Linked DNA regions of Xenopus tropicalis. The protein of the gene in region 1 interacts with the protein of each later gene in a pairwise test. Links are inferred from orthologs where the notes say so. Each region holds a gene or a part of one and is shown on either strand. Other genes may lie near its edges. The genes, in order: cryab, crybb2 and lbh.

Evidence for each region.
Region 2: the proteins of cryab (region 1) and crybb2 interact in a two-hybrid assay, tested with the Homo sapiens proteins (2 studies listed by BioGRID and IntAct). The link is inferred for Xenopus tropicalis from reciprocal best matches to the Homo sapiens genes CRYAB and CRYBB2.
Region 3: the proteins of cryab (region 1) and lbh interact in a two-hybrid assay, tested with the Homo sapiens proteins (2 studies listed by BioGRID, with this or other methods). The link is inferred for Xenopus tropicalis from reciprocal best matches to the Homo sapiens genes CRYAB and LBH.

What each region holds. Positions count from the first base shown.
Region 1 is NC_030683.2:84,501,256-84,505,579, forward strand, and holds the start of cryab (alpha-crystallin B chain), read right to left. Parts: upstream 2,901-4,324; 5' UTR 2,506-2,900; coding exon 2,311-2,505; intron 1-2,310. UniProt on the Homo sapiens protein: May contribute to the transparency and refractive index of the lens. Has chaperone-like activity, preventing aggregation of various proteins under a wide range of stress conditions.
Region 2 is NC_030677.2:147,786,578-147,790,229, reverse strand, and holds the end of crybb2 (beta-crystallin B2), read right to left. Parts: intron 2,347-3,652; coding exon 2,214-2,346; intron 1,326-2,213; coding exon 1,183-1,325; intron 790-1,182; coding exon 621-789; 3' UTR 473-620; downstream 1-472. UniProt on the Homo sapiens protein: Crystallins are the dominant structural components of the vertebrate eye lens.
Region 3 is NC_030681.2:6,602,655-6,606,790, reverse strand, and holds the start of lbh (protein LBH), read right to left. Parts: upstream 2,953-4,136; 5' UTR 2,847-2,952; coding exon 2,821-2,846; intron 1-2,820. UniProt on the Homo sapiens protein: Transcriptional activator which may act in mitogen-activated protein kinase signaling pathway.

The DNA.
Region 1 (4,324 bases):
CTTAGGAACTTCCCTAGCAGGTTATCCAAAGACCTGTATGGCCAAGAAGCAAAACTAGATCAAACTGCAGAGATTGTTGTCTAGGGGAAACATGAATTGGCTATACAGGGAGAAAGTGGTACAGGTTTGTATTGGGTGGTAAGTGTTAACAGTGGCTGGACTGGGGCAAATAGTGGACATGGTTTTACTGGGGAAACATATCTGAGATGGCTATATTGGGTAAATCGCAGAGGTGATTGGAGGTAAATAGAAATAAGAAGAAATTGCAGAAGTGATTATATGTAGGGTTAATGATAAAGCTGGTAGATCTAGCTGTAATGAGAGAAAGTTGGTTATATTATGTGAAATTAAAACAGATGGGTGTATAGGGGGAAAAGGCAGGGATGGCTGTACAGGAAAGAAATGGCACGGGTGTGTATACTGGGGGAAATATCAGAGATGACCATATTGTGGGAAAAAAATAAAATACGTGTGCTACAAAAATGTGATATATAAGGAAGTAATGGTAAATACTGATGTACTCTGGAAATTTGCAGAGCTGTCTGTAGTGGATAAAATAGCAGAGACTTGCAAATGACATGAAAAACTGAATCTGGAGAAAATGGAAACAGATAGAGCTAACCCCGCATCCTCATTTTTAACAGCTACAGTATTTTACTGAAATAAATAATAGTGGTTTAATCATTTAAAAATAAGGGATACTTTGTTAGCCATTAGATTAGCCTTAAGCCGTACCGCAACCTCACCTTTTATGTAAAGAACCTTTATCCCCCACCTTTTACTCTATAACTTTTCAAGTGGGTAACAAGATCCAAACACACTGTTTATTGTTCATTTTTAAAGCATATTTTTTCAAATAAAATTTCAAAAACATTATCTAAAAGCTGTATCTGTGGTTCTAAGTAGAACTGTGGGTGCTTAGGGAAGCTTACTTTTTTATAAGCAAAATATGATTCAGCTTTAGTTTGGTGTTTGAACAAACCAAAGAAAATTGGTGCATGCAAACTATTTGTACTTTTACTTAATGTGGTTACAGTATCAACATTTGGGAGCATCACATTTCCAAACTGAATTAGATGTAAACTTTGCAGGCGACTGGGTGTGTGTTGCTAACAGCCGTAGGTTATAACTGAAGGCACTACAGTGACTGCAATCACATTCACATCATTAATCAAAAGTCAAGCTATAACGGCCAGGAGTTTAGCTTTTAATATTGCTGTTTTAGAGCTATATTTATGAAAGTTTATAAAAAGCATATTTTTGTTTTAAAAAGTATTATTTCACTTTTGGCTTTTATTAGAAAATGTCTGATTTTTTTCCACCACTTTTTGTGAGCTGGGTGTTCCCCACTTTTTACCCTATCAGGAAATGTTAACTAAGATTTAAAGTAACTTCCATATTTGACACCAAAGGCCAGGAAGGGTGCTACAAATAGCAGGACACAGGGTCCCTGGTAAAAGGGGCTTAGTGGTGGTCATTTTATGGGCTCTTTAGGCCTCAGGTGCTTGATGGAACTCAAGGAACTCAAAACCTTCCCAGAAAGTATTAGGAGGGCTGATATTTGGTGACTTGTGGTATCAGCAAACATGTCTCAGCCCAGGAACAAAGCTGCTCTTAATCTACCACTGGGGGAAGTTTTATTTGAGTGCAGCAGAACCTTAACTACACAGAGCTGCTGCATACAGCAACACTCACAGCAATTCTAGACACTGTTAGAAACTCCATATCAACACTATTTACAGAGTTTAGTGCTTTAAAAAATGTTTTCCTATCCACCACTTTTCTTCTGTAAGAGTACAGTGTATAATTAGATAAGATGTTTCAAATGGCACAGGAATATAATCTGACCACAGAATAAATGAATATAACTGTTCTATAGTCTTTTTCTTTTCCAATATGTTTGTTTTAATTACCTAGTGCTCTGTTTAAGACATTTGTTTGAGCCAATATTATCTTAATATTCAATTGGAAATATTTGTCAAATGGTGTTACTATAATTGGTGGTAAAATGATTACTTTAACATATTACTAGCCACTCTACACACCTTTACTCTTTAAAGAAACTCAGTTAATTACATTGATTTGTTGCATTTACATTGATTAATCAGCATCCTTTGTAAATGTATCTATTTGTACTGTGAATGTAGAAAAACACAAACTTTGGATGAATATTTCCATTGAATTTACTTGCCCTTTTCCTTATAAGCATTATAAGATCTGACTGGGCAATGCAAAAAAGTTAATTGTACTCTTAAACCTCCCAGGCCTCCCTCTAGGCTCAGCATTTTGCAGGTTTAAAAAGAAAACTACCTCAGACAGTCCGCTGTCTATCCAGTTTGGAAGCCTGGAGAAGGGGTATCTGAAGAAGAAGGGTGATACACTGGAAGTTGGGAAAAGTTCAGCCTCGTGAAGGTGTTCCCCAAAATTCTGATCAAAGATCCTATTTGGTCCAAAGAATGAGTAAAAGTGACGACGGAACCAAGGATGCTGGATGGCTACATCCATTTTCTTGCTGCTTGTGGCTACTATGAAAGAAAAAGCTCAAGGTCTGAGTTAGCCAATGGACCTAGAGCTCTTATATATAATGGACTGCCAGTCAGCTCCACCCTTGCACCCAAACATTGAACCTTCTGGAAAATTGATGTCAGGTGATTTCATTATTCAACCATGCTCGTCTGCCCCCATTCAGCAGAGTGCTGTTGGATATGTGCCATGACAAATTCTCTATTCACTCTCCAGCCCACTGGATCAGCAAGAAGAGATGCTGATTATCGTTCTGTTTACTTTCCGACTTCTGTGCTTTTTGGCTCAACAGATCTATTCAGCCACTCTCCTGTAACTTGACAAGGATGATTTCATGCCCAGATCTGACAGCTGATAGTGTAATTGATTTAATCCGTAATACTCTAGAAACATCCAACCCTTTTCCAGCTTCCTACAGGGTGCGTATAGACTAGAACAACTTCATTCTTGTAATATGTAGCATTACTGGCAGAGGGGGAGTTAAATGCCTACATGGGTGTGATCATTGCTGACAAAGAAGCTAAATATACACGCAGTGTGCAATTATTATTTTATTATAATGTTATTCATATCTTTCTAGGTTAGTCATCAGGTTAAACAATTAACATGTTAAATATGTTTATGTTGTAAATCAAAACTTTTCATCACAGAGTTTGTGACACCAACTTCTGATCAGCAAATAATGTAGAAAGCTAAAAGGTCCAGTCCAAGAAACCTTCATTTTCCTCTATACTGCCATACTTTACTGCCATTACCTTTTACTATGATAAATCACTCAGTGGCTAAAGTTGATCACATATCGACAAACTTCCAGAACATCATAGATTAACCAGGCATTTGCTCTATTTGGTCGCACTTGTGGATGGCTAAATTGCATTGATCTAACTAATGGATCTGCGGGTAAGATTGTTAAACAGAAATGTGGGTTCATGTAGTTCTGGCACAGCAGGTGTCACCATTTTAGGGTATAACTGGCCACACACTGATCAGCAGGGAAATGTCACAGACTGACAATGACAAGTTTTTTTGTTTTTTTTTTAACATTTTCTTTATTGCATTTTTCAAAAATTTTGCATAGAGCAAACAAAGAGAAGGAAAGAATGAGGAAATAAGAGAAGAAGAATAGTGTAGATAGGGGGGAAAGGGGGGGGGGTGTTTTTGGGCTTCCTTACTTATCAAGTGCATTACTGACTTTGTCTTACATTTGTCCCATGGCCTTTTATTATGTTCTTAATAAAGAAGCTATTAATTAAAACTGCTGGTCCAGTGTCCGTTAATTGTGTCCATTTGTTATGTCCATGCCCCTGTTTTGGGTCCATGCTGATGTACCCTTTTATTATATCCAGTTTGTGGTGGCATTCAGGGTTGATGTATGTCTTTCAGCCAATTGTCCCATATCTTGTTAAATTTGTCTGGGCATCTCCTAGCCAGATATGTTAGCTTTTGACTGGGAAGGGTGTCGTTAATTTAAAGTTGCCTTCCAGGTCATTAAGATTGCTTTTTTGGCGAAATGTAGAATTTGGAGGAGGCATAGTTCATCGTATTTGTTAAGTGATAGTCCTTCCATGTGTCCAAGTAGGCATAAAGTTGGAGAACAGATATTTGGGACTGTGGCGCTGCAAGTCAGTACCTCTGACCAAAATCATTGGATTTCAGTGCAGTCCCAAAAAATATGCATGTAATTACCTTGCTCAATGTTGCATTTGGGGCATACATACGGATAACCCGGGTAAATTTGGCCCAGCGTGTGAGGTGTCAGGTATACTCGGTTAAGGAACTTAGTATGTATGAGTTCAGGGCG
Region 2 (3,652 bases), on another chromosome or scaffold:
AACAAAACACTGAAGGATTATACATTTCTCTCAGTGTATAGTGCCCCTTAAGCCTCATGGATCATTACTTTTTAGTTGATCTGCCGTCCTCATAAGCCTTTACTGCAACCACATTGTCCTCCAGTAGGCTGTGGGTATAGGACTGGGAATCACAGTTACCTAGTCAGTATGATGTTCTCTAGCAGTTGTGGGGCTACAAATTCTACAAATACCAGTGGTGCTTTCCCCAACCTATAATTCTGAAACAGCTGGAGCACCAATGGTTGGTGAGGAACTGGAACCTTGAAAGTAAATGTATATTCATGCCAATATTTTAGTCTCAAGATGAGGCATTTGTAAGACATAAGGAACACTTTAACAGTGAATGTTGTGGATTTTTTTTTCATTATTATATGTATTTAGGTATTTGGAGATTGACAATATTGCCTTCCAGTGTGACTTCTCATAATAACTGACACAAAAAGTGAATCTGTGAGTCTGAAAGTCAAAGCTTTTTATTAAATTGATTCAGCAGCATTAGTCACACAGTGGCATCTGAGAGAGGCATGCCAAAGGAAAAACAGCAGTAGATTGCATGTAAGCCTCTCTGTACCTCCCCGCACTTTTAAGTGGCATCACCCTTAATTGGTAGGGTGGAAGGCTCCTCTCTGGTGCCACTGCATATCACGTATGCGCCTCACAGACTGGATATGGGGGTGCTTGGCACCAAAATCAGAATTGTCCTTGTAGTCCCCCTTCTCAAACAGGTACTGGTAACCTCTGTAACCTGGGTATTGATAGCCAACCCACCTATAATGAAAAAAAAACACATTATAACTCCCTGAATTTCTTTTAAAGCAAAAAAGCACAAGTGAAACTACCGCACTGAATGCACCAGTCATTGCTAGTCATTTGTGCTTTTTGCCTGTTCCCTTATTTGTTCTCTCCACAGCTCATAGATTGGATACACATGGATTGGTCAGTCTGCAAGGAAGATCAAACTTCTCTAGTTGACTTAACCAGTGCATGCAGGGCTTTCCGGTGCTTAACAGCAAACTTTGGAGAAATCACATGTACACAAGTAGGGACAGATGCATTCTGTTTATTACTGTCTCTGCCAAATCCCACAGTGTCTTGGGGAAACTTTTTGGCATGTGGGGACTGAACACATTTCACCTATACTCATATTTCACCTATACTCACGTTCCACTTAGTACTCGAACAGAAGACACTTTCTCTTGATAACCATGAGCATGGAAACTAGGCACATCATCATCAATTATCTCAATTTTCTTCCCACTAAAATTTGGGTTTTCATAGAGGACAATCTTGTGCTCTTGGCTGTCCTAAAAAAAAATGTTTCAAATATTTTCCAAAATTAGTCATTAAATAAAACCATAATTAACCTTGACTGTTATTACTTGGTTAAAATATTATGCACAATTCTAAAAACTTAAATAATTCATTACTTATTACTTATTTAAATAACAAAAACACATTTTTCATAATTAAAACAATAGCTATAATGTATGTTCAGAACAAGCCCTATTCATTGCACTCATGTTGAGCAATATAATATTTAGGAGAGCTAAAAATTAACAAAGAAGTAAGGTAGACATGCTGCATATTAAATTTTGGGCTTCTGTACCAGCCCAAGGCAACCACAGCCCTTTAGCAGGGAAGATCTGTGTCTCCAACGATGCCCCAGAAGCCCCCCATCTTCTTTTCTGCTGATTCTTCAAACATGCTCTGTGCTGCTGTCAGTTACTGAGCTTAGGGACAAACAATATACTGTGTATATAGAATATAAATGTCACAATACAAGGCAGAGTAGTAATTAATTCAGATTCTCATTAAATAGCAGCTCTCTAATGCAAATGCAATTCATATGTAATGTATCTGAATTGAATAATCATCCCTGTAGAATCAGCTTCTATGACAGACCAACCTCATGTTCTGCTGTTATAGAGATGCTTAACCTTTAGGCTGGTGAAGTAAGTTCAGGATATAAAATACGGCATACAGCCATATTTGTTTTTAGGGTTTAGTTCTCATAACAGTATGCCATCCTTATGAGAAATGTGCTGCTTTTGCCATTTGTATATTAGCTTTTCTTTAGGAATTAAAGTGATTTCTTCAGAGGCTTGCAACATCGTTTTTTTTTAATGCACATTGTTACAGTATGGGGGACACTAAAGGCAAGTAAGTTCATTGTGAAGTATCTAAGCACTTACATTTTTGATTGGTCTCATGGAAGAGATGCTGTCAGTCCTTCTGTTGTTGGTCCAGGAGTCCCAGCGTGGGTATTCTCCCTTCTCAAAGACAAACTGCTCTCCTTTGCAGTTCTGTTGATCATATCCTACCCAGCTGTGGAAAGGAGAAACATTTGGTTCCCATTAAACAAAAGCATAGTGTTGTTCAGACTAATGTGGCATAAAATTAAAAAGGCCTGTAGGTGTCATTGCTCTGTAACAACTTTCACGTTCATTTTAAAGTGATGAGGGGTTTTGAGAATTTAGGTTGAAAAATAAGCCCATTTTCTTCAGCATTTAAAGGGGTTGTTCACCTTTGAGTTAACTTTTAGTAGAGATGCACCAACTCCTTCGGAAAAGATTTAGCTGAAGAATACCGAACCGAATCCTAATTAGCATATAATATAATTAGCATATACTAATTAGGTAATGTAAGGGTTACATTTTTAACTTCCGTGTTTATATGAGAAAAATTCATATGATTTTTAGGATTCGGATTCAGTTCGGCCAGGAGCGTGGATTCGGCCAAAAGGCAGAATCTTGGCCAAACCCCGAACCCAATCCTGGATTCGGTGCATCCTTAACTTTTAGTATGATGTACAGAGTAATATTCTGAGACAATTTGCAATTTTTCTTCATTTTTATTATTTGTAGTTTGTTAGTTATTTAACTTTTTGTTATATAAGACAGGTATAGGATCCCTTATCCAGAAAGCCGCTATCCAGAAAGTTCTGAATTACGGAAAGGCCATCTCCCATAGACTCTATTTTAAAGAAATAATTCTGATTCTTAAAACTGATTTCCTTTTTCTCTGTAGTAATAAAACAGTACCTTGTACTTGATATAAGATATAATTAATCCTTATTGGCGGAAAACAATCCTATTGGGTTTATTTACTGTTTAAATTATTTTTTAGTAAACAAAGTGTGGAAATTGGCAACTGGACTTGCTGAGTAATCATTGAAGATGTTTTACTACTTATCTGAGGAGCTTCTTCAGTTCAGCTGACTGGTATGGGAAGTCCTCAGCATATGTACATACTCTTTCACTAAACCAATCACAATGGCACATTGTAACTTAAAGAGAGGTGAGACCTGAAACTCACAGGTGTGGATCACAAAAACTCTAAGCCAGAAATATGTTTTTGTCTCAATAGGAATGAATAGAAAGTGGGTGACTTATTCTGTAGTGAGCTCTAATCCCACACTTCCATAAATCTGCCCCTAAGTGCTAGAACTGATAGAACAGCTGTTTTGGTTTCTAAATTTGCAATGTGTATCAGCCACTCATGCTAAGGAAGAGATAGTGTGCCATATGCTCTTTATTGCATGGTTGGGGTTCCACCCATTATACAGGTGGAAGTTGCACAAATGTTAGTGTAAACACTATCTCTTACTGCAGGGTCTGGTATACAGGCATGC
Region 3 (4,136 bases), on another chromosome or scaffold:
CGTGACAAGTAGCTGCTACTACAGGTATCGGACCCCTTATCCGGAAACCCATTATCCAGAAAGCTCCGAATTACGGAAAGCCCGTCTCCCATACTCCATTTTAATGAAATAATTCAGAATTTTAAAACCTTTTCTCTGTAATAATAAAACAGTACCTGTACTTGATCCCAACTAAGATATAATTACCCCTTATTGGGGGCAGAACAGCCCTATTGGGTTTATTTAATGGTTAAATGATTCCCTTTTCTCTGTAATAATAAAACAGTACCTGTACTTGATCCCAACTAAGATATAATTACCCCTTATTGGGGGCAGAACAGCCCTATTGGGTTTATTTAATGGTTAAATGATTCCCTTTTCTCTGTAATAATAAAACAGTACCTGTACTTGATCCCAACTAAGATATAATTACCCCTTATTGGGGCAGAACAGCCCTATTGGGTTTATTTAATGGTTAAATGATTCCCTTTTCTCTGTAATAATAAAACAGTACCTGTACTTGATCCCAACTAAGATATAATTACCCCTTATTGGGGGCAGAACAGCCCTATTGGGTTTATTTAATGGTTTAATGATTCCCTTTTCTCTGTAATAATAAAACAGTACCTGTACTTGATCCCAACTAAGATATAATTAATCCTTATTGGGGGCAAAACAATCCTATTGGGTTTAATTAATGTTTTATTGATTTTTAGTAGACTTAAGGTATGGGGATCCAAAATTACGGAAAGACCCCTTATCCGGAATAGCCTTGGTCCCGAGCATTCTGGATAATGGGTCCTATACCTGTAGTAGCTACGTGTGTCTTCACCCTAAAAGTCAACCTGCGGCTGTTTCCGAATGACACCCCCTAGCTCCCTTCAACATTCGGTGCTGTAGTTCAACAACAGCTTGAGCATCTTTAGCTTCCCTATGCCAGTCCCCACCTGGAAAGATTTAAAGGCACAGAGGATTTATATAGCAATACAAATACCTGCAACCGTCTTAGAGACGCTGCTGCAATTCATTTGGATTTAGCCACAAGGTCAAACTGATAAATCCGATCTACTAAGCAAGAATCAGACTTAATTCCTCATTAATTACCCCGGGCGCCTTATTAACCAATAAGCAGGGGGCAATAGAGCTGGGCAAGGAGCGACTATAAAGCCCCCACAGGGATTCAGACAATAGAAGCAGCAAGTTCTACAGACCAAAATGAGCCCCACAGCTCCGAGACCCTTCGCTTACACCCCAATATCTACAGTTTGGGTGGTTTTTTTTGTTTTTTTTAACTGCCGCTTGGGGGGGGGGGTTGATTTTGTGAATGAAGGCTACGGGCGGAGACTCGCCTCACTGTCGGCTTGTGAATGATTTCGCCCAATGAATGGCCGCCTCTTTAATACATAACGAGCGCTGCAAAGTCATGCACAATGCTGTCATGGAAAATGTGCGGCTCGCACCTACAGGTGGTGTTGCCAAGGGGACAGCACAACAGTAAGCTCTTGGGTACGGGAAACCAGTCCGCAGCCAGGAATAGAGAGACCGGGTATAATATAACAGCCTGGTCCCTTTAATTATATCCACAGAGCCTGTAGGGTAACAAAGGGAGAGTCGGATGGGGTTCCAGCGGCAGAGAAGGGAGGGTATAAGTCTGTCAGGGCATGCTGGGAGCTGTAGTACAAGAGCAAAAAGTTGGAGAAGCTCCAAGGGCAGAATTAAAACTCCCAGTCGAGTGTTTTTAGTTATAAGATGCCAGGCTGCCCATGGATAAGCCCAGTATGCCCCCCTCACAGGCACCTAAAGCCCAGTACGCCCCCCTCACAGGCACCTAAAGCCCAGTATGCCCCCCTCACAGGCACCTAAAGCCCAGTATGCCCCCCTCACAGGCACCTAAAGCCCAGTATGCCGCCCTCACAGGCACCTAAAGCCCAGTATGCCGCCCTCACAGGCACCTAAAGCCCAGTATGCCCCCCTCACAGGCACCTAAAGCCCAGTATGCCCCCCTCACAGGCACCTAAAGCCCAGTATGCCCCCCTCACAGGCACCTAAAGCCCAGTATGCCCCCCTCACAGGCACCTAAAGCCCAGTATGCCCCCCTCACAGGCACCTAAAGCCCAGTATGCCCCCCTCACAGGCACCTAAAGCCCAGTATGCCCCCCTCACAGGCACCTAAAGCCCAGTATGCCCCCCTCACAGGCACCTAAAGCCCAGTATGCCCCCCTCACAGGCACCTAAAGCCCAGTATGCCCCCCTCACAGGCACCTAAAGCCCAGTATGCCCCCCTCACAGGCACCTAAAGCCCAGTAGCACAAATACTGTCATCTTGGGGCAACTCTGGTCACTTGGGGGTGGAGGGGGGGGTTGTTGAAAGCCTTAATACCCCAGGAGACCAGACACCAACCAGAGTGCCCAGAGTTATCACTCACCCCATACCCCCATCTCCAGGATCTACAGCAAGAAGTGACCCCCTGGCATCTACCATCTACCACTGCGACTGGCTGCAACTAATATAGTATATGCGACCACCAGTAGCTGCAGAAGGGTCCGGGAAATCCTTCAACATTAAAAGCCCCCTCCGCCAGGGGGCAGCAGCGCCAGATTAGCCCCAGTACAAGAATCTCAGGGGAGAGGTTCCAACTGGGAGCTTATTCCCCCCTCCCGATCCAGTCCCCCCAGTAACTCACAGTCCCCCCCCCCCAGTAACTCACAGTCCCCCCCCCCCCAGTAACTCACAGTCCCCCCCCAGTAACTCACAGTCCCCCCCCCCCCAGTAACTCACAGTCCCCCCCCCAGTAACTCCCAGTATCTCCCAGTCCCCCCCCAGTAACTCCCAGTACTCACCAGTGAATGGGGTAAAATACAGACATTAAGCCCAGAGGAGCTGCCAAACTGCTCGGATTAAATGGATCCCAATAGGCTAATCGGAACCACTCGCAGAACACAACACAGTCCTGATTGGCTATTGGCACAGACAGTCCCTCTCCCGCCGCTCCGGAGCGCTCTGACCCTGCCGCTGCCGCCGCACTGCCTTATATAACATAGGGGGCGGGGCCAGCTGGCACCACGCCCAGCCCGTTTGACGTCAGTAGAAACATGAATGGGTGTATGTTGGCTGCTCATCCCCTGGATACAATGTGCTGGGTTTGTAGGCGCTGAACATTCATGCTCACTCATCCCTCCCAGCCAATCAGAGGCCGGGGATTGCAATCACCTGCATTCTCCCCCCCCCCCCCCATTCAGCCTGTCTCTTTGTTCTGTGCAGGTTTAAGCCCCACACTTGCCCTTTGTCTCCCTTATTGCCTCTCCACATTCCCTCACTTGGTCTGGCTGGGGGGGGGAGTAGATTATTCAGGGGTGCCTGGGGGGGGGCAGCACCCCTGAATAGCACCTTCATTCATGGTAAATCTGAAATAAGACTTTTTCAACAGGGGGGGGGGGTTGGTTTTGAGTAGAATGTTCCGGAGACTGGCGGATTTATCCAAAGCCTTGGAATTTGATGAGGGGGTGTGAGTGAATGCAATGGGATGTGGCAGGGAAGGGGTTAACAGCACAATCCCCCCCCCCCCGTATATATGAAACAACTGTTTTTTTTATCATGACGTCATTGATTTATGTAAATCCCCACCCCCCCCAACCTCTCTGCATGGCCAGGGGGGCCCCTGTTTCCAACTCAATCCTGGGGGTACAGAGTCCAATGCAGGAATTGGCTTTGGCTGCTGTGTCCTCTGCCCGTGACCTTGGGGGGGCGCTGCGTTATCTCCCTGTGCCTCATTCGCTCAGACTTAGAGTGTCAGCTCTTTGGCACAGAAGCTTTCTCTTATCTATCAAATGGTCCCTATGTAATTACGGGGTCACGTTGTGCATTGGGGGGGTATGATTGATAAGTATAGGGGCAACTTTGCAGAAATCTCTAACAGCCCATTGGAAATTTCTATTCATTAGCGTAATTGCGTTACTTGGGTCAATCCTGGCGCCTGATTGGTTGCTGAGTGTTCCTGCGCAAATGCAACATTCGCTCTTGTTTTAAATCGTTCCCCTGAGTAAAATCAGCCTTATACTCATTCCTTATCTGTATCAGTCGGAGGAATAGTTAACCCATAGAGTGCCAGTAAGGGCAAACACCTTAGTGTGTGGGAATATGGTACGGATCTTAGATT